2 linked regions of the Astyanax mexicanus genome follow. The main gene of each other region encodes a partner of the protein of the gene in region 2 in a complex. Links are inferred from orthologs where the notes say so. Each region holds a gene or a part of one and is shown on either strand. Other genes may lie near its edges.

What was found. The genes of interacting proteins can lie anywhere in the genome.
Region 1: vps8 (region 2) and tgfbrap1 share a complex: the UniProt entries of both Homo sapiens proteins name them as parts of the putative class C core vacuole/endosome tethering (CORVET) complex. The link is inferred for Astyanax mexicanus from reciprocal best matches to the Homo sapiens genes VPS8 and TGFBRAP1.

Annotation. Positions count from the first base shown.
Region 1 is NC_064412.1:43,277,596-43,286,743, reverse strand, and holds the start of tgfbrap1 (transforming growth factor-beta receptor-associated protein 1 homolog), read left to right. Parts: upstream 1-3,924; 5' UTR 3,925-4,005; coding exon 4,006-4,171; intron 4,172-7,255; coding exon 7,256-7,954; intron 7,955-9,148. UniProt on the Homo sapiens protein: Plays a role in the TGF-beta/activin signaling pathway. It associates with inactive heteromeric TGF-beta and activin receptor complexes, mainly through the type II receptor, and is released upon activation of signaling.
Region 2 is NC_064428.1:31,161,987-31,174,115, forward strand, and holds the start of vps8 (vacuolar protein sorting-associated protein 8 homolog), read left to right. Parts: upstream 1-6,900; 5' UTR 6,901-7,054; coding exon 7,055-7,129; intron 7,130-8,642; coding exon 8,643-8,711; intron 8,712-9,878; coding exon 9,879-10,009; intron 10,010-10,401; coding exon 10,402-10,498; intron 10,499-11,250; coding exon 11,251-11,283; intron 11,284-11,381; coding exon 11,382-11,436; intron 11,437-12,129. UniProt on the Homo sapiens protein: Plays a role in vesicle-mediated protein trafficking of the endocytic membrane transport pathway.

The DNA.
Region 1 (9,148 bases), on a different chromosome or scaffold from region 2:
AAGTCAGTAATGACAGAGATCATCATACAAATTCAGATGCACTCAGGTTCTAAAGTATAAAGCCCTACACAGGATCACTTCTGAGTATTTGCGAGACCTCATCTCCTATTATGAACCACCATGATGACATAGATCTCAGGGTGCTGGTTTCTTAGTAGTTCCTAAAATTCAGAGACGCTCTGCAGGAGGAAGAGCTTTCTCTTATAAAGCTCCCTAACTCTGGAATAATCTCCCCGAATATGTTCGGGACTCAGACACAGTCTCAATCTTTATGTCTAGACTAAAAACTTACTTGTTTAGCTTATCTTTTAATTAATGTTATTAATGTTTTTTCCCTTTGGATAAGGCTGCAGATCCAGGGGTTCATGGACAGAGGGAATTGTGGTAAACTGGGCTGGTGCTGCTGTTCTCCCACTGCACACGCTCACTCAGGTTTGTGGACGGTGGAGTGGGTGAATGCTGGTGTTTCAGGCTGCCTTCGTGTCTATGTTTACTTCTGGCTCTCTACCTTTAGTTAGGCTGTTTCATTCAGATCTGCCAGAGTCATTAGCCACACTAGCCAAATATGATAATGTTTCATATTTTCTGTTCTCCATAAATTCAGTTAAAACTAATTCCATCTCTCTCCCGGATGTTGGACCCTCAGGATCTCATGTCCTCTGTCCGGCCAGACTAATGGAAGTTTCGGAAGTCAGCTCTTCTCCATCACCCACCACAGATTAGCTGCTCATCATTCATCTTAAACACAGAAGAGGACACAGCCATGGAGCCTCAGGTGGAGCTCAGAGAGTCACGGCCTGAGAAAAGGGAAGAATCTTGATTGATTGTCTGCCAGTCAGGGGATAGCACCACCACTGCTACCAGAACACTACAGAGGAAATTAAACAGTCAAGAGCCATGATTCTGTGGAGTATGATGTTGTTAAAGACTGATAATCATTTCTTAAATAAGAGTTTGGCTAGATTCAATCCTTGGCATCAAGCAGAAATGTGTAGTGTGTACCTAAATAACGTTCACATGTGGGGCCTGTATGATCCGACCAATTGAGACCCAAAAGCTTTTGTCCATGGGTTTCACGTATGGATGTCAGTGATTGCCCTATCAGGATCAGTGATCAGACTTGTCTTGTCTCGAGTTTTGCCAAATCTGAACTCAGTGTCTTTTTGATTCAGGTTCAGATGTATCAAACATATCATGTTCAGTGAACAGCTGTTTCAAGAATGTATGGAACACAAATGCGAAAAGAAAAACAAAATTACGATCCTCAAGAACCACGGTGTAACATAGAACAACAATAAAATAGTGCAATAAGATGCAAAAGTGTAAAAATAGTGCAACATAAAACTGTAACACTACAATAAATACAACAGAAGATACATTTCTAGTCAGAATAAAATGCTGGAAGGTGCTGTTAAAGAAACTTAAGAAGACAGAGCTCTTCAAAGAGCACTTACTCCCCTAACACCTCTAACTAACTACCTTCTACTACCAGATCAGGAGAATCTCTCACTATCTTTAATAAACTCCTGAAGACAGAGCTCTTCAAAGAGCACTTACTCTCCTAACACCTCTAACTAACTACCTTCTACTACCAGATCAGGAGAATCTCTCACTATCTTTAATAAACTCCTGAAGACAGAGCTCTTCAAAGAGCACTTACTCTCTTAACATCCTTTAACTAACTAATTACTTTTCCTCCTCTATCTCACTATTCCCTTTGAGCTAATTTAGGCTCATTTCAGTCTCTGTGTGCTGAGAGAGAGAGTGTGTGTGTGTGTGTGTGTGAAGAGTGGTGGTGGGGTTCAGTTCAGTTCTGTGTGTGTATGTGTGTGTGAAGAGTGGGGGTGGGGTTCAGTTCAGATCTGTGTGAGCGCGTGTGAAGAATGGTGAGGGGGGTCAGTTCTGTGTGTGTGTGAAGAATGGTGGGGGGGGGGGGGTTCAGTTCAGTTCTCTGTGGGTGTGTCTGAAGAATGGTGGGGGTTCAGTTCAGTTCTGTGTGAGTGTGTTGTGTGTGTGTGATGGGTGGGGTGGGGTTCAGCTGTGCCTCTGTGTGTTGAGGAGTCTGACTGCCTGATGGATGAAGCTGTTGCAGAGTCTAGTAGTGGAGGCTCGGGTGCTCCTGTATCTTCTGCTGGACGGCATCAGAGCGAAGAGTCCGTGTGAGGGATGGGAGGGGTTGTCCACAATGCTGGTGGCTTTGCGGATGCGGCGTGTGGTGTAGATCTCGGTGATTGAGGGAAGAGAGACTCTTCTCGGCTGTCCTCACTATCCGTTGTAGGGTCTTGCGGTCTGAAGTGTTGCAGTTCCCATGCAGGTGTTTAGGATGCTTTTTTACAGTCCCTCTGTAGAACATGGTGAGGATGGGAGGTGGAAGATGTGCTTTCCTCAGTCTGATGTTAAGTGAAGTTTAAGGGTTAACTTTATCTAGCACTCAGTGCTGCATCTTTACATCTAAGGCTGTATCTCTGAAAACATTTCCTCCTTTGAGTTTTAGAGCTGTAAAAAAGGGGAAGGCAGGTGGACGTTCTCTGCTCCAGTACCGTTAGCCAATCAAAGGCGATATATTTGCATGTATGAATATTTATGAGCACAAGCCTCTAATTTAGTAAACTAAACAGGGCTAAATAGAAACACCTGAGCATTCATTCATACTAGAGACCACAACATTGATGGAATGAGACCTTTAAGACATTGCTTATAGTACTATGCATACTATTAGGGTCATTATGGATATATATTTACAGTGTATTTCAAACACTGTATTGAAATATATGGTATTAGATCTAAACATGCGGGGTGATCACTAAATAAGAGTAAGTATTAATAAATACAGGACTGAGGTAATAAAAAGGGTATCTGGCTCCCTCATGTGGTGTATATTTATAATTGCATTTTTATAGTGAAAATCTAAAAGCCACTCCCCAGAAAATGTGTGTGTGGTAAATCATGTTGCTTATTTTCAGTTTTATTCCTGTACACACTGTAAACGTACAAGCTATTGTACATAACAAATATATTTCTATACTGTCACTACATCACTCATATGCTAAATTATCTGCATGTTTACTGTGTATTTGTACCTTTAAATCTATTTTTATATTAGCTTTATATATTGTAAAACAGTTTAGCTTGTGAAATATATTTTTAGTAAAAAAATATTTTTTGAGTAGAAGTAATTTGTGCGAAAGTACATCAGATAGATCTGGTTTCATACATTTCCATTTTTTTTAAACAACGGATATTTAATTGTATGTTTACATCTGTATATATATATATATATATATATATATATATATATATATATATATATATATATACTTTTTTACCATTTTAATACATCTGACAGTGTAATAATGTACTTATTACGGTATATTGAATAATGATCATTGTTCCATCTGTTAATGCATTGAAACGTTGATCTCCGACATCAGAACTGATTTATTTGTGCAAATTGGTTTTACATTGATTTAAGGTTATGATTGTATATGTATTGTGTGTATTAAACATCACTTACATTAAACATGTATATCTTGTTTCTTTTCTATAACTACAGCTCGTATTGCGTTCTTGCAGTGTAGAAATCAGCACAAATAATGTGAATAAATTTGTTATTTCTGTGCTGTTTCAGTGTACGGTCTGCTTTTATCTCTTAAATATAACTAGATACTTTTATACAGCGTTAGGGATCATATAATAAATAACTAGATACTAGTTATCAGGGACAAACGTAGATCCAATAAAAACTTTACTACTACTACGGTTGTATAAACGCCTTGTCCCTTTAGGGATTCCGTAGAGAAAGTTCCGAGGGGGTGCCGCTGGGTAATGAAGTTTTATTGACATTAGGTCAAAATCAGGTATTACCCTAAAACAAAGAATGGTTAAATAATGTGTTAGAACAGAGTAAAAACGGGCTGTGTGGGATAAATGTGTGAACTGAATGACAGTCAGGCTGTCGGCACATTAAAGTATTTAATAACAGCCCTCTAAACGGAACTTTATCACATGAGCGGATGTAGTCCGCAGGAAGCGGCGGTCCGGTCCGGTTCTACGGCAGCAACAGCAGGGCGGGGAAAGCCGGAGCGGAGCGGAGAGCAGCGGGGACGGGAGAACAGGGAGGCCCAGCAGCAGAGCAGCCTCCCCGGACAGAACCGCGGCGCTACCGGCTGGGGTACGGAGCTTTATTCACTGTGGCTCTCAGCAGAAATCTCGGTGTTAAAACACCGCTTATTAAAGTTCCACCGCTAGCAGGTGTTCTATCGAGTTGTGCTACCCAGCGATATGTGCGAGTTTGAATTGTTCCCCATTTGTTTTCCTCTGTTTCGTGTCACTTTATTTTCAGCATAATTTTGACTTACTGGCATTATATAATTGGCTTAAGTGTTAATGATTAATAAATAAATTTAAAAAATAAAATAGTTCTTGATCTCAATTATCTCGTATTTATCTAGCAAGCATTCAGCTTCATACAGTGATTTATCCATGTCTAGGCCATCCAGATAGCCAGAAGATAACATAGCTAGGTACAGGTATTAGCTATAATTGATATAGCTACTACTGTTTGTATTATCTTATATGATCAACCTTATATAATTTAGCCTGACCAAAATATTTTTTAAGGCTCAGCTAGGGTTACCTATTTTTCTTTTTATCTGTAAATTTACCTGACTTTACGTAAATGTATATATTTATGATAGTACACATACTTTTATATCTTAGTATTTTATTTACGTACAATATTTTATTTATTTATAGTGTCCTTGGCTTATTATTATTATTATTATTATTATTATTATAGGATACCCTGTGGTAGCACGTTTTGGCAAGGTTGCACAATTCGTCAGAACACTGCGATTCACTGAACTGCGCTGCTGAACTCCGCTAGCTGTGGCTAACAGTTAGCACGCTAGCTTTTCTTTGGTGTTGTGGTGCCAGTGTAAAGCTGTTGGCCCTGGTTTCCGTGGTGTTTTATTAAAGATGAGGGTTCGACCATGGCCACACTGTTAGCCAGCTACATTATTGTTTTAATATTGTAATTATCTAGCTGCTCTGGTCTCATGCTAGTTAGCTAATCAGCACAGCCAGCAGGCTAGCTCTCTGTTAGCATGCTGACTAGCAGCTTCACACAGTTAGCCTTACTGTCATTCAGTTGTCAGAGCTGTCAGGGAGTGTTTACTACAGAGACTCATTTAGGATCGTTAGGTGTGAAGAAGCCTTTACAGGTAATGTGTCCCCATACGGGTTGTGTATGGGTAGCCCAACTGGGAAGCAGTACATTTTATGTTAACAGCTTTCATGTTGACCCCACATATGGATGCCTGTAAGCAGGGTTGCCAGTTCCAACAAAAAATATCCAGCCCAAAGTCAGTCTAAAACCTGCCCTTCATAAGCTTAAGCTAGCCCAAAATATATATCTGTCACACATTTGAAGCGAATGGCAAAACAACTGAGTGTACCCCTTAGTATTTTGTTTATAAGGGGTTTATTATCAGTATTGCTGTTTAACTCTCCTGAACTCTCTTCTCTCCTGTTTAACAGTTTTTTTTTTATCGCCTGGTGATTTGTGGTTTCTCCTCTCTCTCTCTCTCTCTCTCTCTCTCTCTCTCTCTCTCTCTCTCTCTCTTTCTCTCTTTCTCTCTTTCTCTCTCTCTCTCTCTCTCTCTCTCTCTCTCTCTTCCTCCGTTTCTGCATCTCTCTCTCCCCCTTTCTCTACCCATCTCTCTTGATCTGTTTCTCTCTCTCTCTCTTCCTCTCTTTCTCCATCTCTCTCTCTTTCTCCTCCTCTCTTTCTCCTCCTCTCTCTCTCCCACTCCATCTCTCCCCCTTTCTCCCCCCCCCTTTCTCTCCCAATCTTTCTCCATCTCTCTCCCCTCTCTCATCTCTCTCCCTCTCTTTCTCTTTCTCCATCTCTCCCCTCTCCTTCTCCATCTCTCTCCCCCTCTCCTTCTCCATCTCTCTCCCCCTCTCCTTCTCCATCTCTCTCCCCCTCTCCTTCTCCATCTCTCTCCCCTCTCCTTCTCCATCTCTCTCCCCCTCTCCTTCTCCATCTCTCTCCCCCTCTCCTTCTTCATCTCTCCCCCTCTCCTTCATCTCTCTCTCTCTCTCTCCCTCCCTCTCTCTCTTTCTCCCCCTCTTTCTCCCCCTCTCTCTTTCCGTCTCTCTCCTGCTCTCCTTTTGTACACTGTCCTCCTTTATGTTGTTATGTTCTCTAGATTCTTTATTTTGTAAACAATCTTGGAAGATTGGAAGATTTTAGTGTACACGTTTGTCCGCCGTGTTGACGTAACATCCAAGGCAACACCCACTTTTTAGTTTTTTTGGCGGCCAATGTAATTTTTAAATGGAAACCCAAAAAACCCTAACCCTAACCCCTAAAATTCCACTTGACTGGATTTTAAAACAAGCCTAATTTGGCGGGAAAACCACAAACCTGGCAACTGTGCTTGTAAGGGGCAGTTAAGAGGGCAGGAGGAGGTTACACATGGGGCTGGTCTGAGTTGTACACTACACATGAGATTGAGGTGGGCTGAAATGATTTGACCCATTTGGGAAGCCCAACCGGGTCCCAGTAACACGTACAAGCCCACTCAGGTTGTTGTTGACTTTCTTCTTGATTGGACTGAAATGATAGTAGATCACATGGCTTTAAGAAGACTGAAACGTTTTTTTCCCTCTGTTATACAGATGTACTGATAATATGCTGATTATATAATAATGTAGATTTAACGTGTAGTAATAGTACATTGGAGATTTTTGACAAAATGTACTGCCTGAAAATTTTACGGTATATTTTCGAACATGCTGTTTCTTAAAACATGTATCATCCTTGTGTAAGTAACACTTACTTTACATATTTGGCTCTGTCTATATAGAGGCTAAGCTATTGATAACTTGCTCTCTGTGCAAACTAGACTATTTTACCAATTAAAAGTTGCAAGTAGACTCGCCCTCACCCTTGACAGAGCATAAAAGAGAACAGAATAGCGCAATTGGCTAAAATACAGCTTATTGAAGTATTTTTACTCGTCCTTTTAATGCTTATTCTTTTGGAATCTAACCCATTATTGCGTTTTTGTGCATGTATTGTACAGCAAGTTGATAACAACTAACCATAGCAGGCCTATCCTTACATACAAGTATATAACATTCTAAGTAAACATATACTGCAAATTTATTAAAGAAAGTCTGTATTGAAATTCACTCCAGTGCATCCTAACTGACTCTGAATTCATATCTCCCTCCTCTCTCCAAGCAGATGTGAACATCAGCATGAGTGTGAAGGCCTTTGAGCTGGTGCCCGCTGTGGAGCGGGAGCAGTTGATGGGCGAAAAGGTGCGCATCGGCATCGAGTGCATAGAATGCTGCGGGCAGCACTTGTACGTGGGCACCAACGACTGCTTTATCCATCACTTCCTTTTGGAAGAACGCTCCACCAAAGGCAGGCTTACCTACAGCAGCCAGAAGCTCCTGCAGAAGTTTCTGGGTCTGAAGAAGCCCGTGGCCGAGCTGAAGGCCGCCTCGGCTCTGGAGCGTCTCATTATCCTGTGTGATGGCACCGTCTCTCTGTTGGACATGGTCACTCTGGAGCCTGTACCGTTTGGTGGAGCCAAGGTGAAAAATGTGATTGCGTTCTGCGTCAATGAGAACCCAGTAACGGCCGACCCCTTCTGTGTGGAGATGGCGGTGGTGTCGGCGCGCCGACGGGCCGTCCAGATTTTCACAGTGCACGAGGATCGGGTCCAGATGCTGAAGGAGGTGACCACGCCTGAGCAGCCCTGTGCCCTCAGCGTGGACGGCTACTTCCTGTGCCTGGCACTGCCCACGCAGTACATGATCCTCAACTACAGTAGCGGAGCCTCGCAGGACCTGTTTCCCTACGACAGTGAGGAGAGGAAGCCCATCGTTAAGAGGATCGGCAGGGAGGAGTTCCTACTGGCTGCTCCGGGTGGACTTGGTGAGTTCAGCACCAGGAACAGTAAACAGTTGTCACTCATGTGGAAGCATACTGAAAGCATTTTGTTGATTATGTAATTTTATAGAATATAGGACAATATATTTGCCACTGCTGTGCAATTTAAGCAGTTAATTCCAGTCATAAATTTAGCTCGGCAGTGCCACTCTAGTCACATGTAAAATTTTTACATTTGCTCAGAGATAGTCAGTCTTTTGGTAAACAAACAAACAAACACTAAAGTTAAGTTATCTCAGCAAATGTTATTATACTATACTGTATCTACAGCTCCAGTATCTCATAGTGGTCATTCTCTGCAGCTCTGAGGACCAATTGTGGTGGATTCCTGTCCACATATTAAGGTGTCTTCAAATCAGACAGTGTGATACGGCATGCTGTGGTTGCATAATCATGATCCTGTATTGTGTCATTATTTCTGCTGGTAACTGAAACAGTGGGTGGAGAATATGGGTAGATTTTGAAATAGTGAAAAATATTAGTTACACAAATTTGGCCTATCATGATAACTATCATATTTTTTGGGATAATATGTTGAACCAGAAACTGCAAATAACAAAACTTTAATATTTTAAGATCATTGTATGCCACTTGTATAATAATGATATATTTGCATTATGGCCCTATGATTTCTGTAATGCAGAAAACACGGACAGAACCACGGAATTAAGCAATTACAGCAAAATTCAAATGCACAGAGTTAGAAAATGTCCCGTAGGCTGGTACTGGTGTTCTGACATTCATAGTAATTTGCAGACCATCTTACACATCATATCAAACAGAACTTACCATATCTAACCAGCACAGAAACATCGTTCAGATATTTCTTTGCATGAAACTTGGCAAAAGCAATGGTGCCCTGTCACACAAAAGCAGAGAGTGTGCACAGAATTGCAGATCATTCAGATGATCCAAACAGCACCCGCATCGCTGAAATCTCTCAGGTGCTCATGCAGTCTATCGCTCACTCGCATTTGCACTCTCTCCTTCTCTCTTTCGCATTTGTACTCTCTCCTTCTCTCTTTCGCATTTGCACTCTCTCCTTCTCTCTTTCGCATTTGTACTCTCTCCTTCTCTCTTTCGCATTTGTACTCTCTCCTTCTCTCTTTTCTCATTTGCACTCTCTCCTTCTCTCTTTCGCATTTGCACTCTCTCCTTCTCTCTTTCGCATTTGCACTC
Region 2 (12,129 bases):
TTGGTTTAAATAAGTCAAACTGCATATTTGATCACTTTAGAATTGTTCTAAATATGGATGCGTCATGATCCTTAGCATTATCATCCAGAGAACTGTCCAGAAACTTAATAATTTAATTATTTGATGATGTGTTTGTTGTATTCTGGAAGAGCATAAGGTTTCTAGGATGGATTAAAATGCTAAAAATACTTCAGAGCAATTTATTTTCTATATAGAACTATTGGTGAAATGGGTTCTGCACAGTATTTAAAGGGTTCTTTGGATAGTAACAGTAGTATAGCACCAAAAAACTGGGTTCCCAATACTTTCATCATCACGATACCCAGGCAGCCTCCTAAAAACACCACAGCAACAAAATCTAGCACTCCCATCCCAAACAGCATGAAGATTTAGGCCATGAAGCTCAGCTAATATAAGGTCAGTGTGTTGGCAAAAGTGTCTTGTCCCCATATTATACTCCGCAACCGGGGTCTTGGCACATGTGGCTCTGGTTTATTCCCATATTATATTCTGAAACTGAGGTGTTGGCACATGTGGCTTGGGCCAATTCCCATACGTGGTAACCAAGGTACTGATACATGTAGCTCAGGCTGTTTGCCACATTATATTTGGCAACCCAGGTTTGCACATGCAAACACGTATATTATAATCTGAAACTATTATTGATGTAACAATAAGAAAACCACCTTGCATAGAACCACCTTGGCACCTCCACTTACTCAACCAAACCCTATCAGAGCCCAACCTACTAGACCAGTCGAATTATCTGCATTTCATTTAGGTTCGGTCATTTTGCTTGAGAACCTCAGACAGTACACAACAAGATATGTCATGAGACTTTGTTTGAGGGAGGAATCTGTACCTACTGTCTGTGGCAAGTCAGCAGAAAATAACATCACAGTTAAACATGAATTGCACACAAATGAAGATTTGAAACGACCAGGAAAATCAAACTCTTTGCATCTTTTCTTCCAGCAATGTTGGCAGATGCCGTTCCACCACCGTTGCCCTTCTAAAGGTCATGATTCTGGCAGGGTGACACGGGTTCTACATCAGTGTCATGGGTTGCATCTTCCAAACTTGAGCTGAAAATGCCATGCTGTCTTTGGCCTCGCCTCCATTCTCCTCTTAAGCCAAATTGATGACCAGTTTGAAAGTTTTAGGAATCATATGCTTCTATGAGCTGTTTGTTTAATTGCTTATCCCTTATTGTGATGTCAAAATAAGAAAAACACCTTGCATCGAACACCCTTGGCACCACCCCTTACTCGACCAACCCCAACACAACCCCACCCTCTAGTTCAGTTGAATTATCTGCATTTCATTTTGGTTCAGTCATTTTGGTTGAGAACCTCAGACAGTACACAGCAAGATATGTCATGAGACTTTGTTTGAGGTAGGAATCTGTAACCTACTGTCTGTGGCAAGTCAGCAGAAAATAACATCACAGTTAAACATGAATTGCACACAAATGAAGATTTGAAACGAACAGGCAAATCAAACTCTTTGCATCTTTTCGTCCAGCAATGTGGGCAGATGCTGTTCCACCACCGTTGCCCTTCTAAAGGTCATGATTCTGGCAGGGCGACACGGGTTCTAGATCAGTGTCAGGGGGTGCATCTTCCAAACTTGAGCTGAAAATGCCATGCTGTCTTTGGCCTCGCCTCCGTTCTCTTCTCAAGCCAAGCAGCAGGGCTGTTTCTGAGCATCCATCTGCTATCAGATCACATCCATCCATGAAGCTGTGAAGTCTATTCAGCGTCTCGGCTGGACGGCGGAAAGCTGTCCTTGTTTCAGACAGAATGAGGCGGGAAAACGATGCGTTACAGTGATGAATGCGCGGCAGGTGAGCTCAGATTCATGGACTATGACTAATACGGAGAATCATTTATATCTGTCCATGCGAAAAAGATGCTTTATTACATTCCATGGGATGTTTTTTTCCACCGTCGACGGCGGCGGCAGAACCCCGAGGAGTCAAGGTAAAATGGCAGCTCAAGTGTCTTGTCAGGAAGCGGCGCCAACATCCGTGTGACAGGCGTTTTTCATACACCCACGGCCCTGAGCACGAGCACAACAGCAGAGCACGAGCGCTGTAGCAACACGGCCACAAACGCTCTTTTCTTTCACGACAACATCCCGATGACAGGGGTGACATTTAGCTGCTAGCTCTGCCACGTTTCTGCTGACGAGGTCAGCTCATTAAACCCTGGACGGAGCTGCCATGTTGGATCCACAACATCATAATCCACCATGACTAGCTCTCGCGCATTATCAAGACCTGTAGCCGCCATTATTATCCCACAGTTTCAGCTAGAAATCAACATTACAGCCCATACCTTAAAGAGGAATTCCACTTTTCTTATACTTTAGGTGCAACTGAGTGGCTTAGGTGTACACTATACAGAATGGATGGTTACAATGGTTAAACTGAGACCATAAATCAATTTTCTGGTGACCACAACATGCTATATTGGCACCATAAACAAATATATTAAGATCACAAGACATTATCTTGAAGCCATGAGTTAAAAACTTTGGGCCACGAGATAACATTGCACACAATAATATATTGACGCCATTATGCAATATATTGTGGCTATTAGGTAGTATAATTAGATCATATCATAATACCTTGATGGTATTAGATAGTACTGTATATTGAGATCATATCATAATACCTTGAGGCTAATGTCTTGAGCGTACAGGATCATATACAGAAACCGCAAGATAATCTCTCAAAAACCATGAGATAAATACTTTGAAGGTATGAGATAATGTCTTGAGAGAACAGGATCATATATAGAAACCACAAGATAATTGATGGTATATTAATTGATATTGTATTATATTGAGGCTATGAGATAAGGTCTTGAGAGTACAGGATCATATATAGAAAAACTACAAGATAATATATTAAGGCTTTGAGATAATACATAGAGACCACAAGACAATATATTGAGGCTATAAGATTATATATAGAAAAAACAAGAAGATATAGTGAGGCTATGAGATGAATACTTTGATGGTATTAGATGTAATCTTGAGGGTATGAGATAATGTCTCACAAGATAATATCTAGGCAATATATTGAGGCTATACGATAATATCTAGAGACCACAAGAAGATATCTTGAGGCCATAAAATAATATATTGAGACCATATCATAATACCTAGAGGGTATGAGATAACATTTAAAGAGTACAAGATAATATATAGAAACCACAAGATGATATATTGAGACAATAAAGTTCTTAAATTCTTTGATGGTATGAGATATTATCTTGAGGGTATGAGATAATGTATTGAGAGTAAATGATCATATATAGAAACCACAAGATAATATATTGAGGCTATGAGATAATACAGAGAGACCACAATAAGATATCTTAAGCTATGAGATGATATATTGAGACCATATCATGATACATAGAGGATATGATTAATATCTGGAGAGTACAAGATAATATCTTGAGAGTAAAAGATAATATGTAGAAACCACAAGATGATATCTCGAGGCTATGAGAGATAATATATTTAGACCATGTCATAATACCTTTAGGGTATGGGATAATATCTTGAGAGTACAAGATAATATAGAAACCACAAGATAACATATTAAGACCAAAAGATAAATACTTCAACGGTATGATATATTATCTTGAGGGTATGAGATAATGTCTTGAGAGTACAGGATCATATATAGAAACCAAAAGATAACATGGCACAAAATAATATATTGATGCTAGTAGGCAATATCTTGAGGCCGTGAGAGGATACAATATATTGAGAGACCACAAGATAATTGGATAATTGGGATCCTGAGATAATATTTTGAGGCCATGAGATAGTATATTAAGATGAGAGAGTACATGATCATAATTAGAAACCACAAGATATTATATTGAGGCTATGAGATCATACATAGAGACCACAAGAAGATATATATCTTAAGCAATGAGATGATATATTGAGACCATATCATAATACATTGAGGATATGAGTTAATATCAGGAGAGTACAATATAATATATAGAAAACACACGATAATATTTTGAGACCATAAAATAAGTACTTTGATGGTATGAGATAGTATCTTGAGGGTATGAGATAACCAAAAGATAACATGGCACAAAATAATATATTGATGCTAGTAGGCAATATCTTGAGGCCGTGAGAGGATACAATATATTGAGAAACCACAAGATAATGGGGTATTTGGGATCCTGAGATAATATTTTGAGGCCATGAGATAGTATATTAAAATGAGAGAGTACATGATCATAAATGGAAACCACGAGATATTATATTGAGGCTATGAGATCATACATAGAGACCACAAGAAGATATCTTAAGCTATGAGATTATATATGATATTATATATCATAATACATTGAGGATATGAGTTAATATCTGGAGAGTACAAGATATTATATAGAAAACACAAGATAACATCTTGAGACCATGAAATAAGTACTTTGATGGTATGAGATAGTATCTTGAGGGTATGAGATAACCAAAAGATAACATGGCTTGAGGCCATGAGAGGATACAGTAAATTGAGACCATATTGGGGAAATAGGGATCCTAAGATAATATTTTGAGGCCATGAGATAGTATATTAAGATGAGATAATATTTTGAGAGCATGAGATAATTTAAATAGTTAAATTAAGTAGTTAAATAGTTTTTCAAGTAGAAAAAAACGGTGCTATATTTTATACACTCTTTCAAAATGCTCTAAAAGAACTAATTTTATACTAAAACTATATTAAATATTAAATATTTTGGCCACATGTTGATTTTCTTATGATTTTCCTTCAAAAATTTGTACAAAAAAATACATACAGAGTTCAGACATGTGTTTAAACCAACAGTGTAAACCAATCAACCAATCAAAGCAAGGTATCAGTTCTTTTTATCCTTCATATCCAATCATATGTACAGTATCTGCTGGGCATGAATGAGTTAAATTACTGGCTGTGTCTCTACAGTAATGAAGAGTGGAATGGGGGTTTATGAAGCTTGTTGGGGGTTAATCAGGAGTTCATACTGAACAGAAAGAGCGTGCTCATAATGATCCATCACACTCCACAGCTCCTCATTACTCCTCACGCTCTTCCTCCTCCTCTTCATCCACACACTCTCTTCAAAAGAATTCCCATCAAAGCCCTGCTGAACCCTGGCTCTCAGAGATGCTCCGCGTTAAAGGAGATAGTGAACATCTTCTTTACCACTCAGGAATTCAAATAAACACTGAGAGAAAAAAGCTATACTAATTAAATCTGCATGCTCTCTGGGGAACTGTGGCAAAAGAAAGATGTAAGCCTTCTGCACTGAGTAAGAGAAATATAAGAGAATTTATAAAATTATTTTTAAAATATGAATAAAAATTATTCATAAATAAAGTTAAAATATATACACTAGGTGAAATATTACACCAATTATTTTTAAAGACAGTTCTAATTAAATTCAAGGTTCTCATAATATAATTATCATAAAAACATAAAATCAAAGTTTTCAGAACCAGAAGGACATATTCACTCTTAGAACTGACTGGAGACTCGAGAATTATATTATATGAAGTATTCATTTTAAACATGTTGGATTTCTTTGGTTGTAGTTATTGTATTAAACTCAAGGGGGCAGCAAATCTGCATATTTGCATCAATTCATTAAATGGTCTGTACCATTTAAAAAATGTGTTTTTTTGTATTATTTTTTGTCTATTCATCTAATATATTTTATTATTTCACTTTTTGTTTTTAGTTAAATTGCATCATGCATGCAAATTATTTTTTTTATATAAAATTTTGTGTCTTTGTGTCTTTTTTTAAACAATGTTTTACTATTATTTACTTTATTAAATATTCTATACTTACATGTCCATATTCATTTATTAAATTGCTATTTATTTATATTAAAAATCACTATTATTTTCATTTTCCTGTGGTGATTTGCCTATTTACATTTTTAAATATAATAAATAGCCTATGCATATTTAAAATCCTATATTAATTAGATCATTTAGTTGTATTTGCTATATATATCCTATATTATTTTGTCTGTTAAATGTATTGTTCTATGTTAAATATTATAAATAGATTTTTCATTTAATATGTTTAACAGTCTGTTCATTTGATTTGCTTTATATTCCAAAGTCAATTTATTTTTAGACGTTAAAGAGTGAATTTAATTTATATACAGTGATGTGAAAAAGTGTTTGTCACACGGAACAACAGGTAAACACAAAATGCTATTTTTAATGAAGGTGTTTATTATTAAGGGAGAAAAAAAATTCAAACCTACCCTGTGTAAAAAAGTGATTGCCCCCTTGTTAAAACATACCGTCACTGTGGTTTCTGACACCTGAGTACACTTATTGCCACACCTGTTCTCAATCATTTAAATATAATTTAAATAGGACCTGCCTGACAAAGTAAAGTCCACCAAAAGATCCTTAAAAGCTACACATCATGCCGAGATCTAATATATGTTAACTAGTTTTAACTAATTTAATTTTAGATATTGAATAATCGATTTAATATATATTTTGATAATAAATATATTATCTGTGATTTATTTACATAAAAATGTATATTTTATTTATTTTTATATATTAAATGGCATTTTTAATTTATTATTAGATATTAATTAGCGTATTTATTTTTTAGATATTAAACTGTATATTCAATTTATGTTTAGATATGAAATAGCATATTTAATTTATTTTTAGAAATTAAATAGTTTGATTAATTTATTTTTAGATATTAAATAGTCTAGTTATTAAATAGTGTGTGTATAGTGTGTTTATTAGCATGTTTGTGTATAAAATTATTTTATTTTTATTTTATTTTAGTAATGGCGGGTGTTTGGGCGGAAGTGGTGTGGTGATGTCAGGGCTAAGAGTGACGCTGTTTCCGGGAGGAACAGGGCAGTGCAGTGGAGCTGAGGGTCTGTGCCAGTGTGTTTGTGTGTATTAGAGTATATTAATGGGTTAATATGTGTGTATTATAGTGAGTTAATGGGTTAATGTGTGTTAGTGTGAGTGTGTGATGATGTCGGAGTCTCCGGATACCCGCAGTCTGCTGTCTGCGTCCTCTCAGGTTAATCTGATGGAGATAGAGGCGGTGAGTCTGTGTGTTTATATTTATGCTGCTGCTGCTGCTGTTTGTATATTATAGATTGTTTTATATCTCAGCGGGTTCAGTATTTAGTTCTCTCTGACTGTATCACAAATAAATTGCCATGGTTAACAACAACAACAACAACAACAACAACAGCAGCAGTAATACTAGCTAGCTGCCCATGTTTACAGGCAACAGTGTGATATACAGTGTTATAAACTGTATAATAAACTCTATTTGTCATTGTTTATGTAGTTTCTGACACTGTATAATATATTTATTATTCAAAAATGCTAAGAAAAACCCTAAAAACATGGCAAAGGCAAAGAATTACAGTTGTCTATGTTTATAGAGAGCACTGTATCACATACTGCTCTGTATTAAAGTGCACAAAAGTACATATAGCAGCTAAAAAGCAGTAGCAACCATTATCCTTTTTTTCATATTTAACCATCACAAAGAGTCCATACCACACACAGAGTTTATTATGCAGTTTCTGATACAGTATGGACAATTTTGATGTTTAAATAAACTACTAACCTACATAAGTACAAAACTACATTATAAACTAACCAACAGTTGCAAGAATCTCCTTGGATTTGTGCATTAAATCGGTCATTAAATGTGTTCTGATCAAACTCAAAACTGGTGTGTTTTTATTTTTAAATATACTACACAATATATATATATATATATATATATATATATATATATATATATATATATATTGTGTAGTATTAATTTAAGCAGACTGTGTTTGTCTATTGTTGTGACTTAGATGAAGATCAGAACACATTTAATGAGCAAATTATGCAGAAATTCAAGTAAATCCAAATCCCAAAGGGTTCACATACTTTTTCTTGCAACTGTACTTAGGTTTTTGACACTGTATGGCACATTGCTCTCCACAAAAGATTGACAAAAATATATTTAGATTTCACTGTTCTGATTGGATATAAAGTCAACTTTTTCTTTTACACAGGGTTTACACATGTGTATTGCTACTATGAGTTTTACTGAAATTGCATTGAAAATATTAGCAGTACAATATGTTGCTGAAAGTCACTATGTTTTGAATAGTAAGCCCTGTATCACCACCATAGGTTACCTTATTTTAGTAGAAATGTTGGTTATCTATACTTTACTGGAGTAATCATTTATTTTTCAGACGACTCTTTACTTCTGCTCCTCACATTTTCACACAATTATCTGAACTTTCTACTCATTACATTTTAAAAACAGCCTGGTTACTCCTATTTCATTTAAGCTCGTTTTTATTCTGACTTCTCATCCTTCAATTTCATTTACAATGGGCATATATGCAGCTGAAACAAGGAAGAGCCTAGTGCATCCCAAATGTATTAACATTAACATGTTAATAATAGAACATTATAATCATTATGACTTTTAGAAGAAATGTGTTTTGGGAAGGGAGGGGGGGTAGTGCACTATAGGACTCTGTGGCACTGCCTAAGCTTTTGTTCTTAATGGAATTTTTAATCACCTTTGATCTCAGATTGATGATAAGGAGTTTGATATCCCTCAAGTGGACACGCCGCCTACTCTGGAGAGCATTCTGAATGAGGTGAGTTATTGTGAATAGCTGGCAATAAATAGCTGGAGGTTGGTTCAGATATACACACACTGAGTTTAGTGTACTCTTCTGGCCTAGAAGACATAGACACATACAGTACCAAAAGTTTGAACACTCCATCTCATTCAGTGTTTACTTCATTTGTGTATTTAATTAATTTTCTAAATTATAGATTTATATTATTAGTAATTTTTTTACTTTATTTAAAAAATAAAACAAAATAATACAGGTATAATATAGGTAGAATGTCTTACTTATGTGTATTACGTATGTGTATGCTTACAGAAAAAATGTAAAAAAAAAAAACTGGACACCATTTTGTCAGAAAATCCGTTTTTAGTTGTAGGTTTGCGGTTATTTCTTCCATTAAATACACATCCTTAACCCTTTCCCTCCATTGTTGTATTGAGGGGGGCTGTGGCTTTAGCCAGGAGACGGTAAGCGTTTTCTTAGCGATCAAATGAAGAATTTGTGCTATTAATATCTGCTTTCTATCTGTTACTTCCTCTGGTATAATTCCTAAAGTAAAGCATAATGGTTCTAATAGCAGTTCTATATTTAAGCATTTGTTTATTTCATTTTGTATGTTTTTTCCAATATTCTAATAATTTTGGGCAATCCCAAAATATGTGTGTATGGTCTCCTACCAAACCACAGCCCCTCCAACATTTATCTGATGTGTCTCTCAATTTTGATGATTAATATTATTATTTGAAGTGATTTGGGATAAAAAGTAGCAGCTATTGTTCAGCACCTCCAGGAACTCCTTCCGTCAAGACACTGAGAAAACTATTCCGGGTGACTCTCCCTCATGAAGACACTGAGATTAAAATACAGATCTTTGCAGAAATGTGCAGATCTGTCCTCAAAGATCTCTCCTCTGTCCTAAATGTGATACTTGGAAAAACCTAAAGTATGAAACACATTCTGGGTTGTTAAACACTTTTATTAGGAATAATTCTGTGTTGTGTTCCTGTAAAGCTTTAATATAATCTTTAATATTACATTTACAATGTCAAAAAATCATAAAAAGACAGAAAACACATTGAATGAGAAGAATGAGTGTGTCCAAAGTTTTGTCTTTAAATCTGGTATTATTGGAAGACCCATATGTTTAGATTTGTTTAATCTGTGTGTGTATGTCTGTATTTTTTGTAGCCTGAAGATGAAGATGAGCAGTTCATCCTGGAGGACACGTGTCTGCTGAGCACAGAAAACATTGACGCTCATTCCTGTGAGACCTCCTCTCTCGCCAGCTCTGACAGTGGAGACCGAGCACACCTGAAAAGGTACAAACAACACAAAAAGCGTTAACGGATGTGATTAATTAGGAATCAGTAATGGTTACTATTTATTTTTTTTAACGCAATTAACTAGGTCACTAAGTTTTACCCCAACTTCTGCCGTAATCTGCCCTGCCCCTGCCCAACACGCAGATTTATTTTTTGGCTGAAGCGGTTCACTTGACTAATCACAGTTAGTCACAGGATTTTGTTGTAATTATTATGATTTTGTTGATTGACACAACTAGAACCACGCATCAAAAGAGCTGGGATATTAAAACAAACTCAAGTTGCTGTATTTAGAGATGATAGGTTTATAATACATATAATACATATAATGCATATAATACTGTATTACACAACCTACTCAGTATGTATTTTTTTATTGTCTCTTCCAGGCGGAGGAGAGCAGTAGAGACTACCGCTACAGTTCATGGATCAGTTCTGAGACACAGTGTGCTGAAAGGCATCTCGGCTCAGATCGTCTCGGCTGCTGTGAGTATCTGTCTGTAAGAAGCATCTAAGGCTGATAACTGATAAACCTATCCTGTGTAACACAGGGAACTCTAGCTCTTCCTTTTCTTGAGTGGTCCTGATGAGAGCCAGTTCCATCATAATGTTTTTAATGGTCTTTGTGACTGCACTTGAGGATACTTTCAAAGTTCTTGAAATGTTTCCTTTCAGATTGACTGACATTAATTTCTTCTAAAAGTATTTTTTCTTTACTTAGTTGAGTAGTTTTCGCCATAATCTGGATTAGAACATTACTCAAATAGAGCTATTATTCACTGTATACCTGTAACTCTACCTCTTCACTACTTTACAATTGATCCTCTCAAACACTTTAACAGACAAGAAATTAAAGTATTTAACTCTTTAAGAGTACAGCACAGCTGTTAACTGAAAGCCTGAATTCCAGGTCACTCAACCTCATAAAGCTGACTGAGAAAATCCAGCCAAGATGTCCAAAACTGTCTAACCTAAGCAAGAGGTGCTACTTTGAAGAATCTTAAATATATAAAATGTATTCTGGTTTGATTAACACTTTTTTTGTTGTTGGCTAAATTATCCCATTTGTTTTTCTGCATAAATTGAAAAAAAAAAAGTCTTTATTTACAATACCACTGCATTTAAGGTGTGTCCAATTAATGTTAATATGTTTAAACATCTTCAAAAGGACATGTCATTTTACTGTACATGTAGCTATACTGTATTACTTATCCTCCTTTATTTTCTTCTCTTTTCAGGATAAAGTTGATGCAGGCTTGCCTACGGCCATCGTAAGCACTTTTCTGAGCTTGTTTTAAGGCAAATTCTTCAGTGTTTTTGTTTGTATTCTGTTCAGCTTGTTCTCTACTGGTGTTTGTTGTGTTTTTAGACAGTGTCCAGTGTTATCGCTGTGGGAACGTCACATGGCCTGGCCCTCGTATTCGGTGAGTGTTTAATACGTTTAATAAATGTTAATATCTTGTGTTTTTTAAACATTGAAACAGTATAGCAAAGTTTATCTCTGGCAGATTAACATTATTTAGAGCCCTATCATACACCTTGGTGTACCTATCTTACACGTGGTAGACTGAAAGTGAGGTGTGTTCAGTAAAATTTCTGGCGTGTTTCTATTTTGGTGGTGAAAAACACAGGTGCGCCACTGACTTATTAAAACCCTGACAACAGTCAATCATCAAGTCCATTCTTATAGGTGGTCCCAGTGCACTGCATACATCCCCGCGCATTAAACACAGAAATAATCACACTGCAGAGCACAAACAAAGCTTTTACATCAACAATAAACAGAAAAAAGTATAAAATAACATTGCTCTTCCCTTAAATGAGCTGTTGGCGTACCTTCAGAGTGTGAACCTGCAGGTCAATATCCTGTTGAATGTTGAGACGCAGAAAAGTGCCACGCTGTTACGATACGAACATGCCAAAGTCAGAGCTCACCTGCCTCTTAAAGGGAATGACAACTGACACACTTAATGGTTTATTTCACGTTATTCCCAAAATTAGTACATGCATTTTGCACGTTTTTAGCTGCGCAAGGCATATTTTTTGCGCTCTTAACGATACCTGATATGCTGACATGCCCCTAAATCATAAATCCAGCTCCGTAGTCCACAATTGAC